Linked DNA regions of Macaca fascicularis. The protein of the gene in region 3 interacts with the protein of the main gene of each other region in a biochemical or structural test. Links are inferred from orthologs where the notes say so. Each region holds a gene or a part of one and is shown on either strand. Other genes may lie near its edges.

Region 1 (4,181 bases), on a different chromosome or scaffold from region 3:
GCAGGAGGGTGCGCGTGTGGCTTCCTTCTGCAGTCACTTCTAGAGCAGGGTGGCTCCAGGTTTCCAGGGCTGGGGAGCAAATGCTGCTACTTCTGCAGCTGCAGATAAACCCAGCTGCCCTGCACACCCCTCAGCCTGGGGCTGCCTGCCTTTGCCATGTCCAGCAGGCTGCGGCCACTCCGCAGGGAACAGAGAAAACTAGGGGGTGGTGGGGTTTGTTTTTCAAGAAGTTCAATCTCTTTGCTTTAAATGACTGGTCTTTTTTTTTTTTTTTTTTTTTTTTTGTATGCCCTTCCTGCCTTTTTTGGTGTCAAAGGCTGCTTTCTTTCAAGAAATGAGATGTTGGAGGATGACAGTTTGTTATCATTCATTTAATTACTTTTTAGTTTTAAAATCTCCGTAATTGGCAAAATCCAGGGTAGCAGCCACATGAAGCCTGCAGATGTGTGGAAAGTCTACAGGTCCATCGCGTCCCACAGCCTACAGTGGAGCCTGACCCTGCAGGAACGGAAGCTTCCTACGCTGAGCAGAGGAGAAAGGGGAACCCTGAGCCCAGGGTTTGTCTGGCCAAGGGGTGGGGCTCCTGGTGTTTGCAACCCAGCAGCCTCAGGATAGGAGGCTGATGAGGCTTTGGCTAAGAGGATAGTGGACATCTGTGGGCACCACAGGTCCCTTTCTAAGGAGCAGACACTGCACACCTGTCATGACTCTGAGAGTAACTCAGTGCAGACAAGGGTTCCGAGAGAAGAGGTGGAGGAAGGAATACGGGAACTGGCCTGGAAGCCAGCAGTTTTGCCCCCAGCCAGCATGGTGGACAAAGGCCTCAGGCTCTCTGCACTCTGTCTACCCCCTGAAAAGCCAGGGCTGTTGCACCAGAGCTTTTCCAAGACCTTTCCAGCTCTGACTCTGGCTCAGGCTGATCCTAGACATTAAGATGCTCACAGCTTGGAGTCAGAGAGACCCACATCCCATGTCTGTAACTTGAGCAACCACAAAGCCCTGGTCAAAGAGCTGCATTGAAGGTTAATGAGATGGGGCCCTGGAAGCCCTCGGCTCAGCCAACACCAAGCAGCCAGGACAAGATCCCACTGGGCCAGGAGAGAAATCCAAATAATCCACATGGGCCGGGTGGAGTCAGACTGGGCTTGTGAGATGCCTAAGAGAATCTTCCTGCCCCTTCTAAGGCCCCGGCAGCAGCAGGTCCCCACTGGGGAAGTCCAGGCAGCCTGGGCCTGCGTTCCTTCCCCTGAGGCATGAGAGAGGGGGCACAGGAAGCCAGTCTTGGAGGTGGGGCTGCAGACTGTCAGCACAGGCCAGCGACCAGCTGTGAGCCTGGGTTGGCTTCCAGTGCCCCAGCCGACCCTGTAAACACTCCGGCTGCCCTTGCTTCTGCCTCCAGCCCCACAAGGCTACATGCATGCCCCGCTAGACTGGGAGCAGGAGAGGTCGGGCCACAGGCTGCTGGTCTCAGCTGCAGCCTCTGGGGGCAGATGGCCATGGCTTTGACTGTTGTCACTCACTTAACTGCCAGGGCCTCAGATTTCTCATCTGCAAAGTGGGGCTTTTGACAGGACCTTCACTTCAGGTTGTGGTGAGGATGAAATGGGCTAACAAATGCTTAGCACAGCAGGCCCCAGCTGTGAGTCAGTATTCAAAACAGGTCTGGGTTCATCACCCACTTCCCCTCCTGCCTGAAGAAGGGCAAGGCCCTCTCCGCTTGGGGGAACATTTCTGCTAGCCCGGGGATGCTACTGGAGATGTTCGGGTGGACATACCCTTCCCTGACTACACCCTGGCACTGCCCGAGGCCTCGGCAAAATGATTAGACCAAGAGCTGCAGGGCAAGGGCCTCCTTCAGACACTGGACAGGAAGGGGGTTTTAGAAAGGAACCTTCAGCAAGTGGCTGGTTCCTCCATTGCTAGCACAGCTGGCACATTCAGTAACATCCCCAGCCGGGCAGTGGGAGGAGTTGATGGTGACAGAGACCCAAATTGAGGGGTGGGGGTGGGCAGCGGTCACAGCCGAGTGCTCAGGAGACAGAGAAGAGGCTGCTCGCTCGTGGTAGTGGTGAGCGAACGGAAAGTCCTTTCTTGATTAAACTCAGCCCATATGCTTGGCTCGCCGAACAACAGCTGCCTCCAGGGTCCCAAAGCCTGGGTGCTCCAGGAAGGGTCCCCCTTGCCACCTTTGCTCTTCTCAGGGTTTCTGAGCTGGGCATCTTTGAACTGATCTCTAACACACCCACCTCCAAGGAGCCCTGAGCTTCCTCCTGGTTCAAAAAGCCCAAACTCGTTCTCTCGTTCCCCAGACTTCAAGGAAGCCCCGGGCACCACACAGCTCATGGGAAGCTGGGGTGTAAGATCAGGCCTCGGAGTGGTTCTGACAGCTCCAAGGCTGCAAAATCTGCCACGAGACCAGCTCTCTGAACTCCAAGGCCAAGGTCCAAGGACAAGGTCCATGACAGGGTGGCGGGGAAGTGTGCATGGCAGATCACTTTGTCCTGTGACATAAGAACAACCCATCCCAGTGCTGGGCCCCCTCTAAGCCTCTCTGTCATCTCTGTGCCCGGGGACGGAGCAGGTTGTACTCACAGCACGCAGAGCGCGTATGCCCGGGAGATGGACTCGCTGGCACGCACGAGGAAGCTCCCATCCTTGCCCGTCCTGGAGAGCAGCTCCTCCGCCTTGGAGCGGGTGATATTGCCGTGGTTCCAGCAGGGGACCATGGTGGGCATGGGCCTCCTCGGCCGGGCCAGCGGGCAACCCCAGGACCCACACGCCACCGAGGGGAGCGGAGGCCCCTCTGCTGTAACCTGCCGCCTGTTGCCTCTTGGTGGCCTCGGCTGCTGCCACCAGCTTAACTGGCTGACTTCCTGTTTCAGGCGCTCAGCGAGGGAAAGGAAACTGAGCGGCGGAGAACTTCCTCATTACAGAAACCAAGCGAGAGAGGGCGGGGGGAAGCCCTGGCCATCCACCGTCCCCCACACCCCGCCACGGCTACTGCGGCTCCTTCACCGGCCCTCTCCTTCCTGGCAACAGGTCGCAGCCTACAAGTGAAGTGTCCAGGGACAGCTGAAGTCCCACTGGGCAGAATGACCAGCTCTGGAGACGTCAGGAGAGTCGTGGCCACTTCTGAAGAAGCATGGCCTAGCAGGCATGGGTGGGCCTGAAGAGTGGTTCTTCTGCGGCCATGCTGACGCCCACATGGGATGCCACGCCCTAGACAGGTCCCTGAGCCTTCTGCTCTCCCCCAGGGCTTTTCAACGCCCATCCTGAACCCCTAAAACACCCAAGGGGGCACAGCTTCTCAACTGGGACTACAGCCTGCCCAGGACAGAGCAAACTTGAGGGGGAGGGGACAGTCAAGCCCCACCACTCCCCTTTAGAGACTCCCAGCGGCCTGGGTGCTGGGAGACCTTGGCCACCACCAGCCGAGGGTGCCGAGGTCCAAGTGACGGCTCTGTGACTGCATTCCCCTCATTCCCAGGGGCCGGTGGATGCTGCACGGGCAGCACAGCTCTTATCCCTGCAGTCCAGCTTGGAGACACACAAAGGGAGCTTGGAGGGGATGTGGACCATTTACAGTGGGAACACAGGCTGACTTTTTCTCTGGGCTTCTCCAGGATGCTGGGGAAACAAGCTCGGAGAGGAGAACCCCAAAGCCCCACAGGGCAGGCTGGCCGCCTGGCCAAGGATAACACGGGGTCCTGAGTCCTGCATCTCAGCAGTCGGGGTGACTGGTCAGACTGTACCTCCTCCAAGGCTGGGCATGGCCACATTTGCCCACCTCTCCAAGGGGAGCTGCCTCTCCAGGGACTGCCATCCAGGACCAGTCATTTCTGAGGGCTCTGCAGTGGACACCCATCCCTCAGCCCCCAGACCTGGGTACCCTCCATCCTTGGGTCAGGCCCACCAAGGCTGAAGGGGCAGGTGTTGACCCGCTGCACAAGGAGTGTCCCCTCATCCCACATCCAGGCCTTGGGCTCCAGGACATGACAACAGACCCCCTCCAGGAAGGGGCACCAGCCAGGCAGTGGCACCAGCCAGGCAGCGCCACCACATTCAAGCTGTGGGAACCTGGTCAAGTTTCTTCTCTCTCTCGGCCTTGGTTTCTTCTTGTCTAATTTGAAGGACGTAGCTCGTAAAGGAGCTCACATGTGCCCAGGGGCTCAACGTGCGTC
Region 2 (4,229 bases), on a different chromosome or scaffold from region 3:
AGAAAAATTGTTACCAGCTACCACTGAAATCTTGGAGGATTGTTCTAAACCCTAGTAGATGAAGAGCAAATATCTGCCTTTGGTGCAGGTCAGCTCTGTACATCCAATCCATTGGTAAGCCACGTGAGGAATTAAGTGTCGTTCTCCCTATTGAGCTTCCAGGCTTGCCATATTCTCCAAGAACTACACACTGAAGTTGCAGAAAGCATATAATAGACGACATAGCTTCAGCTATTTAAGTTCCAATTTTAAAAGTACTTTACATAATCTAAAGGTACATGTATAAGACCATTCAGCTTCAGCAATAAATAAAGTCTTACTCTAGTGAAAATGCAGGAAGTTTTGGGGAAATATTACCTAGCACATTTTGAAATAGAAGCAATGCTTTATTTCAGAGAAGAAAATGCAGATTGAAAGGTTTTAAAATATTAAAGACAGTTTAGCATCAATTGAAGAAATAACATTTTCTAGAAACAACAGAGAATAAAAGTTACAATAATATTATCAACAACTTGCAAATGATTCAAAACAGATTTTATGGCCAAAATGCTGAAAGTTGGGCCCTATACACCAAAGGGCACATACAAATGCATATAAAGGCAAAGCACCAGTTAAATGATTCACAGTCTCATGTAAAGCCCATCAAATAGATAAATCTGGAAAATCTTTGGATGTACATTGTGACTTTTGTATCTCAACTAGCACTTTGGGACCTTGGACAAGGTGTTAGGAAAGAAATCAATATTTACTCAGGACCAAGACTTTCAAGATGACTGCGTGAGGTAGAAGGAAGAGGGAGAAGAAGAACTTGCCCAAAGTTCACTGTTCATCTACTATGTCCGATTCTGTGGGAGTCTTCATGGCCATGTTCAGTAATGATTTCATACTGACAGTACTGATAAAACCATCAGTGTTTTGTTCTCAGAGCTTTTGATCCTTTCATTTTGTTAGTATGTTTTTGCCCTACATGATGGGTCCACATACCGACAGAGACATGTACAACTTGCCTCTATCATCAACTCCTTACCGGCTAGTTGAGCTAAGTTATTCCTGGTGGCCTCTGAGTAAACTGCAAGAACAGAAGCATTACTAAGCATCCCTGTCTGAGTGCAAGGGTGTGTGTTGGCAGTACAGCCCCAATCTTGCAAAATCCTTCTTCCAATGTTCCTTCCCGCTCTGTATGAACCCTGTGTTGGGGGGCAGGAGATGGAAGCCCTTGGCAAGCTCGATTGAACTAAGCTACTAAATTGCTGAGCTCGTTTTAGTTGAAGTGTGAGAAGGAGGTTTAAGGCAAGTAGACAACATCCTGTTGTTTGGGTGCTTCTCTCTTTTTTGCACATCTGGCTGAACTGGGAGTCAGGTGGTTGACTTGTGCCTGGCTGCAGTAGCAGTGGCATCTCCCTTGTACACTTCTCCTCCTCGGCCTGCCCAAGAGTCCACCAGGCCATGGACGCAGTGGCTGTGTATCATGGCAAAATCAGCAGGGAAACAGGCGAGAAGCTCCTGCTTGCCACTGGGCTGGATGGCAGCTATTTGCTGAGGGACAGCGAGAGCGTGCCAGGAGTGTACTGCCTGTGTGTGCTGTGAGTATGATACAGTGGGCATGGGCCTGCTGAGGGTGTGGGCGGTGGGCAGCGGCAGCTGGGGCCAGGGTGGAGGCCGAGGCAGGCAGGGGCGCCGGCATTAGCAGCTCGCCGACGACGCCTCCATGGTCCGCCCTCAAGTCCAGCCCAGGGCCGTGGTGAAACACACTTTCGCCTGAGTCCCTCGCTGGGGATTTCATTCCCTGGGCCACCTGCTCTCCAGAAGGCCCTCACCAGAGCCTTTTGGGGCAGCCGCAGAGAATGCCCTTTCGGGTGCTGAAATGTGGTCTAGAGTTTACCTTCGCTCCAGGAAAGACCCAGGCTCCCCACTTCTATTTTGAACCCTATCGGGTGGTGCCCTGGGAGCCTTACTCTAGCTCTCTTTAAACGACTTTTGAAGTGTCATCCCAAAGGAAGGGCATGACATTCAGGGAGAGGAGACACATTAAGAAACAGAGTCAATTACTTTAAGAATGCAATGCCAGTAAAGTCGAGATGCTGAGAGAGGAGGGGGATGTGTATGAGTAAAATCACCTCTCTGGATCTGCTGATGTAGCATCCTTTAGAAAAGTAGTGGGGGGTGGGGAGGGGCAGGGGATTTCAGAAATAGGACCCTTCTTGATAAACGTTAGGACTCACAATAGTCTTAAAGGGAATGGAGGGAAAACACCCTTGTTATGATTCAGCTTTGCCATTTGCCTAGGCATGTCTCAGTCTAAGGCTTCATTTTGAATCAAATTCATCTGCGTCTTTGCTCCAGGGCTGCGGAGTCAGGCAGATCTGAGACTTTGTCCTGTGCTAGTCAGATGTTAGGCTTGTGACCTGGGCAAATTAACCTCTCAGTCCCCCAGTTTTCTTATCCATTGAATAGGTATCATATTACTGCCTACCTCATAGGATTGTAAGATTAAGTGCTATAATGCAGTAAAAAAATTAGCACTGGGGCCTGACACCTAGTAAATGTTCAATAAATGTAAGCTATTGGTATTGTCATTATACCAAAAATATATTGTTATTTTATCTTCTCTTTTCAGTTGATTTCTTTTAGGAATCATGGGGGCATTTCTAAGGAAGGACCTAGCTCAAGCATTATTGTCAGCAGGATAAAAAAAATCCATGAAAACAGCAGCCCTGCATAGTAGGTTCTAGACAGAAACCAAATGAGGTTAAATGCTTGGTAGTAAGTTCAGCATCTGATGATACCCCACAAGAGTTTGAAATACCTTATGGGTCAGTGAAGAAAGATTATCCTGATGCTGGTGCTAGAGGATTTTCACTGTATATTGGTTTTCAAAAATGGTCAAGCCTTGTTTGTGGCAGCTCTCAGGTCATGCTAAATACATTTTTCATAAAGGCTTCCAGGGAAATACGTGGAAGTTATTGAATGTCTTGGGCTTGAATCTTTATGTTTTGCTTATATAATTATGTTCCCGTGTGGAATCTAGGGAAGGGCAATGAAAATCAGCTAGGATTCTTAGGCTCTTTTCTCATTGAGAGAAGGTGGAGTGAGTGGGTGGGTGAAAGGCGCTGCTTTAGGGAAACTGACAAAGGAGATAATGTGCTCCTTAACCCAAAGGTGAAAAAGAACATACAAAACAAGTCTGGGCAGGGGAGGGACAACAGGGTATAGTGAGAGGCAAGATACACCTAAGACTTCAGCCTCACCAGGCTCCTGGCCGTTTCTCAAGCTCCTCAAAAATGCCCCCACTTAGGATTTCTGTGCTTATTGTTCCTTCTGCCAAAAATACCTTCAGTTCACATGTTTGTTCAACTGCCTCCTCCCTCAGAGAGGACTTGCTTGGCCACCTATCTAGAACAAGTGCCCTCTCTCTGTCCCTGATACACTCACTCCATCTCTTTATTTTTGTTCAAAGAGCTTTAAACTATTTGATAATTTGCCTGTTTACCTACTTATTGCTGGGCTGTCCTGCAAAAATATAATCTCCATGAGGGCGGAGACATTGTCTCCATCACCAGGAACACAGGAACACATAATAGGCACTCAGCAGATATTTTTGAATTAACAAACTGTTAAGGCAAATTCTATTCTTTACTGCAAGAAAAGGAATGAACATCGAGAGGTTAGGGTGTGGACCCTGGGAAAGTCACTCAAATTCTCTGGGCCTCAGTTTCCATATTTATAAAACAGGAATAGTAATGTGTATCCTACCTTCTGCAAAAGATTGCCTTAAGTACCATATACAAGAGAGAAGGACAACTTTAGCCTTTTTCCTATGTGGGCCAGAACCACATGAGGAATTAACTTAGGCAGGTGAGAAATTCTCAAGCATTTAAGTTTTTGCCCAAAGTGAATCTTGCATAAATGCTTTTTTTATGACTCTCAGTTCTCCATGAAAACTGCCTTGTGAAGTAGCGGAAAATACTAGACAAATTGGGAGTTCCCTTACGGTGTCTTTCAAATGGTACACTGGGGACTCAAAGTCTTATGAGACTGTTTGGGTGATAGCCAGAATGTACTGCAGAGGAAAGATATAAGGATACATTGCCTTTTATCAGTTTCTCAACGTTTTTGAGTTGAGTGTCCCTTTTGACAAATGTAAAAAATTCATTCCCTCTTTTTGGTGCTACACTGTAATTATAAAATCAAATTTTATTTAGAAATAAACCATGTACTCATTTTAAACC
Region 3 (3,642 bases):
AGGGAATAGGGATAAAAAGTGCAAGAGCCCCAAGTGCTAGAGGCAGCAGCAGGGCAAGAAAGCAGAAGTTGAGTCCCCTAACCAGGTTTCTGCTCCTATAGACTTTATCTGGGCCAGACCTTCTACCAGACGCGGAAGAAGAAGGAATGCCCACATCAGGCTTCCCAGCTGTGTTAAGATGCTCCACAGTCACATGGATCTTTTCAAATCATGTGTTAATGCAACTGAAGTCAAGCTATCTTCTGGATTCCAAGAGCACTAAGGTCTTATTCTGCCATTCAAGGGTGTGAGTTTCGGGGGGGGCACTAGGAAACCCCAGAGATAGGTATGGAATGGACTAGAGAAACTAGAGAGGTACCTGGGACTGGATCATAGAGTAGATGGTGCTGCCCCCTCCAGGAAAAGTCTGCTCCTGCTCCTGCTCCTGCTCCTGCACAAGAAATAGGGATGGGGTAACGTGAGCAGACAGCTAGGTCAGTCCAGATTTAGACTGAGCAGGGGAAAACAGCACAAAGAAGAGGGGCTTTCAGGAGCCTGGGAGGGAGGTGGCAGGACTGAGGAGAGTCATTGATCCTCCCAGGATGGGGAAAGACAGAAAGAAGAGCAGTTCCGGTGAAGCCATTAGTATCAGGAGCAAAGAACCACCCAGGTGTGAGGGATTCCAGCAACCCTGCCCAAAGAGAATGCTGTCACTTTCTTTCCTTTACTGACTTAGAAACTCTTCCTTGCAAAGCTCTGAGTAGGGCTGTTATCTGAGCCTTATGTCAGAGCACTGGAATTCAGAAAGTTTAAACATTTCAAAGACCACACACAGGTAAGCCCTCTCTAGATCATCTTCAGTGTCACTTTGCCCGTGACCTCAAGCCAGCCCCCTGGGCAGCTACAGTGCTGGGTACAGCCCTGAACCCAAGGGCCAAAGCAGGGAGCAGGGAGCAGGGAGCAGCGCTTCCTGCTTCCCTTTTCTTGTTCTTGCCCCTTAGGAAATCGGTGGTGGAGGTATTTCATGCTGCTGGCCACTGAAAGCATATTGCCAGTTGGATAGGAGCCAGTGGAGCCCAGCAGGTTTCATTAGGCAAGGTGCAAGCTAAATTCCTGGAAGCAAGAAGAAGCTAAGAGGAGCAGAGAACTGTCAGCTGTCCTTAGAGGCTGGAGAGTCATGGGCATCTGACAATGTCAATAACTTCATTTGTGTTTTAAAATACTGCAAGAGTTTGTTGCTTTTCTCTCCTGTCCAGACTCATCTGAAGTGTTTCTAGAAAGATTAGAGCTGGGTCTCAAAGTGAGACCACATGAAACTTGAGATTTAGGCCTTCAAATTGGAACCCTGAGACAATAGGGAGAGGCCAGAGAGGGCTGAGGCCAGACAGGGAGGAGCTCTTGAGTCAGAAGTAAGCTAATAGGACTGAATCCCCAAGATGTTTCCTTTGCACTAAGTTGTTTCTCCCCCTGTGGTCTCCTAAACTCAAGTCATCTTCTTTTTGGAAAAACAGATTATTTGTAGCAAGCAGCACCCGCGCATCATTGGCTGTGGGTAGATTCACATGCTCTCAGGAATTTGCACCAGAGTCTGGTAGCAGTGAGACAAACAAAGTTCCCTTTTATTTTTCACATTCCAATAGCCACTGCTTTATTTTTCACATTCCCATAGCCACCGCTGGGGCCAAAACAAAACAAAACAGGCGTGGGGAACTGCCCTAACTGCCTCTGAAACCAGACCCAGGAGAGGATGCTTGCCTGCTCTGCGAGGCTGCACAGGGCCTCACGTATGTGGCCAGCGCGGAAGAGCCCCACCACATGTGCTTGCTACGTGGTGCTGGGTCTCCGCAGCCAAGCGCCAGGGGGCAGTGGAAAGAAGACATTTCCGCCCCACTTCACCCCCCAACTTCCTGCCAGCAGTTTGGTAGGCCCCATTAGAGCTTTCCCCTGGGCCTGTCACCACATTAGCCCTGAGCAGGACACAGCAGCAGGGGCATCTGCAGGCCCTCTGCAATTTCCTCCTCTTCTAATTCTTGGATGACGGGCAGAGTTGGCCACTGCCTGCCACAGAGAGCAGGCGAGAGGCTCCTGGAGGAACCCACTCAGGCTGGTGGGCTTTGTGCCAGGCTGGTTACTCTAATACCTCAGCCACACTCAGGCCTCTTCTCCCAAAAGGCTGTGAATGCAGCCCATTGAGCCAGCTACAAAACTGTTATGCTTTGGCTGGTCACACTTCCCAGCCTGTGTCACCATTAAGGGACTCATGAATGCAAGCCCTGACTCATTGGGAAAAAGAATTTGTGGTCAGACAACAAATACCACAGCAGCACTCTGCCTCTGCCATTGATTTCTGTTGTGCTCCATCCCTTCTCAGCAGGTGCAATATTGCACCAAGAAGCCCCTTCAGCCTCCCTTTCATCTTCTCTGCTCCTTTTGTTTCCTCTTTTCCTCCATTGCCAGAACTAGGAAGCAAGTGGAGAAAAGATAGTTGGGGAAGGGCTGAGGGTCACATCAAGAAGACAGTTGTTCAGTCCTTTTTGTCCCTCTTCTCTGTATAACCATCATTGAAAGAGCATTTTCCAAGCCAATTGAGAGCGACCCCAGCCTCTGGGACAACATACTTTATTTCTCCTGGTTTTCAGATCCTTGACCTCTTCATAAATTGTCAAAAATTCCTTGGGACAGGTCTCTGAGGGAGGAAGAAAACAAAGAGCAGAACTGCAGAAACTTTCAGAAGGGCTTTTGCTTCTAACAGGCCCCACCTCCACCCCAAATGGCCAAACCTTAAAGAAGGTTCTAGAAAGGAGGCAGGTTAGTGCTCTTCCCAGGAACCCCAAAGAGCACAGAGGCAGCAACCAAACTGCCCCTCTCATGCTTCCTCCCAAACCAGCTGTCTGCAGGGAAATCTGCACATTGGGGATCAGAAAGCATGAACGAGGAGAGAAAGCCTGGCGGCCTGCATGCCCCCTGCCACCACGCATATGCATATACCAAAGCTCGCTGAGGAAAAGGAGATGCTGTGCTCCCAGACACATCCCACTGGAGGCAGGACCAAGTCACAGGATCCGAGGCCTCAGGCAGAAGCATCACCCCAAGGACCTTCCACTCACCTGATTGCTTCCCCTTCCTCTTTCTCCTCCACACACAGAAGCAGACAAGGGTGCCAAGGAACAGTGTGCTTAGAATCACGATGATCACCAAAAACGGCCAAAATCTGAATTCTGAGGAATACAGAAGGCATGAGGTCTGAGCTGCCAGCTCACTCTCTTCTTCCTTCCCATCTGCCTACTGCAGGGGCTGCCTCAAAACCCACTCTTTTCTGTGGTGTGGTTGATCACACTCTGTGAACTCACCATCAAGGTTTTCTCTTTGCTCATTTGGGTAACCTCCTCTGAGTGATGCCAAGAGCATGGATATTAATAGCAGACAGGCCTGGCTCAAATTCTAACTCTGTGAGCTCTGCACTATTTATTTAACCTCTCTGGGCCTCTCAAGTCATCTTCTTTTTGGAAGATACCTCAGAGCCTCTCAGATTTTCTCACCTGTAAAAGGGGATAACGTTATCTACCTATGGGGGTTAATTACATGATCTAATACAGTTGGCCCTCCAAAGTTTTGAGTTCCACAACTGTAGATTTAATGAATTGTGGATCCAGAATATTCAGA

The links.
Region 1: the proteins of CD244 (region 3) and INPP5D interact in a biophysical measurement, tested with the Homo sapiens proteins (2 studies listed by IntAct). The link is inferred for Macaca fascicularis from reciprocal best matches to the Homo sapiens genes CD244 and INPP5D.
Region 2: the proteins of CD244 (region 3) and SH2D1A interact in a biophysical measurement, tested with the Homo sapiens proteins (2 studies listed by IntAct). The link is inferred for Macaca fascicularis from reciprocal best matches to the Homo sapiens genes CD244 and SH2D1A.

Annotation. Positions count from the first base shown.
Region 1 is NC_088386.1:128,992,126-128,996,306, reverse strand, and holds the start of INPP5D (phosphatidylinositol 3,4,5-trisphosphate 5-phosphatase 1), read right to left. Parts: upstream 2,864-4,181; 5' UTR 2,736-2,863; coding exon 2,593-2,735; intron 1-2,592. UniProt on the Homo sapiens protein: Phosphatidylinositol (PtdIns) phosphatase that specifically hydrolyzes the 5-phosphate of phosphatidylinositol-3,4,5-trisphosphate (PtdIns(3,4,5)P3) to produce PtdIns(3,4)P2, thereby negatively regulating the PI3K (phosphoinositide 3-kinase) pathways.
Region 2 is NC_088395.1:130,579,517-130,583,745, forward strand, and holds the start of SH2D1A (SH2 domain-containing protein 1A), read left to right. Parts: upstream 1-1,366; 5' UTR 1,367-1,446; coding exon 1,447-1,583; intron 1,584-4,229.
Region 3 is NC_088375.1:100,218,817-100,222,458, reverse strand, and holds part of CD244 (natural killer cell receptor 2B4), read right to left. Parts: intron 3,198-3,642; coding exon 3,087-3,197; intron 2,666-3,086; coding exon 2,598-2,665; intron 431-2,597; coding exon 359-430; intron 1-358. UniProt on the Homo sapiens protein: Heterophilic receptor of the signaling lymphocytic activation molecule (SLAM) family; its ligand is CD48.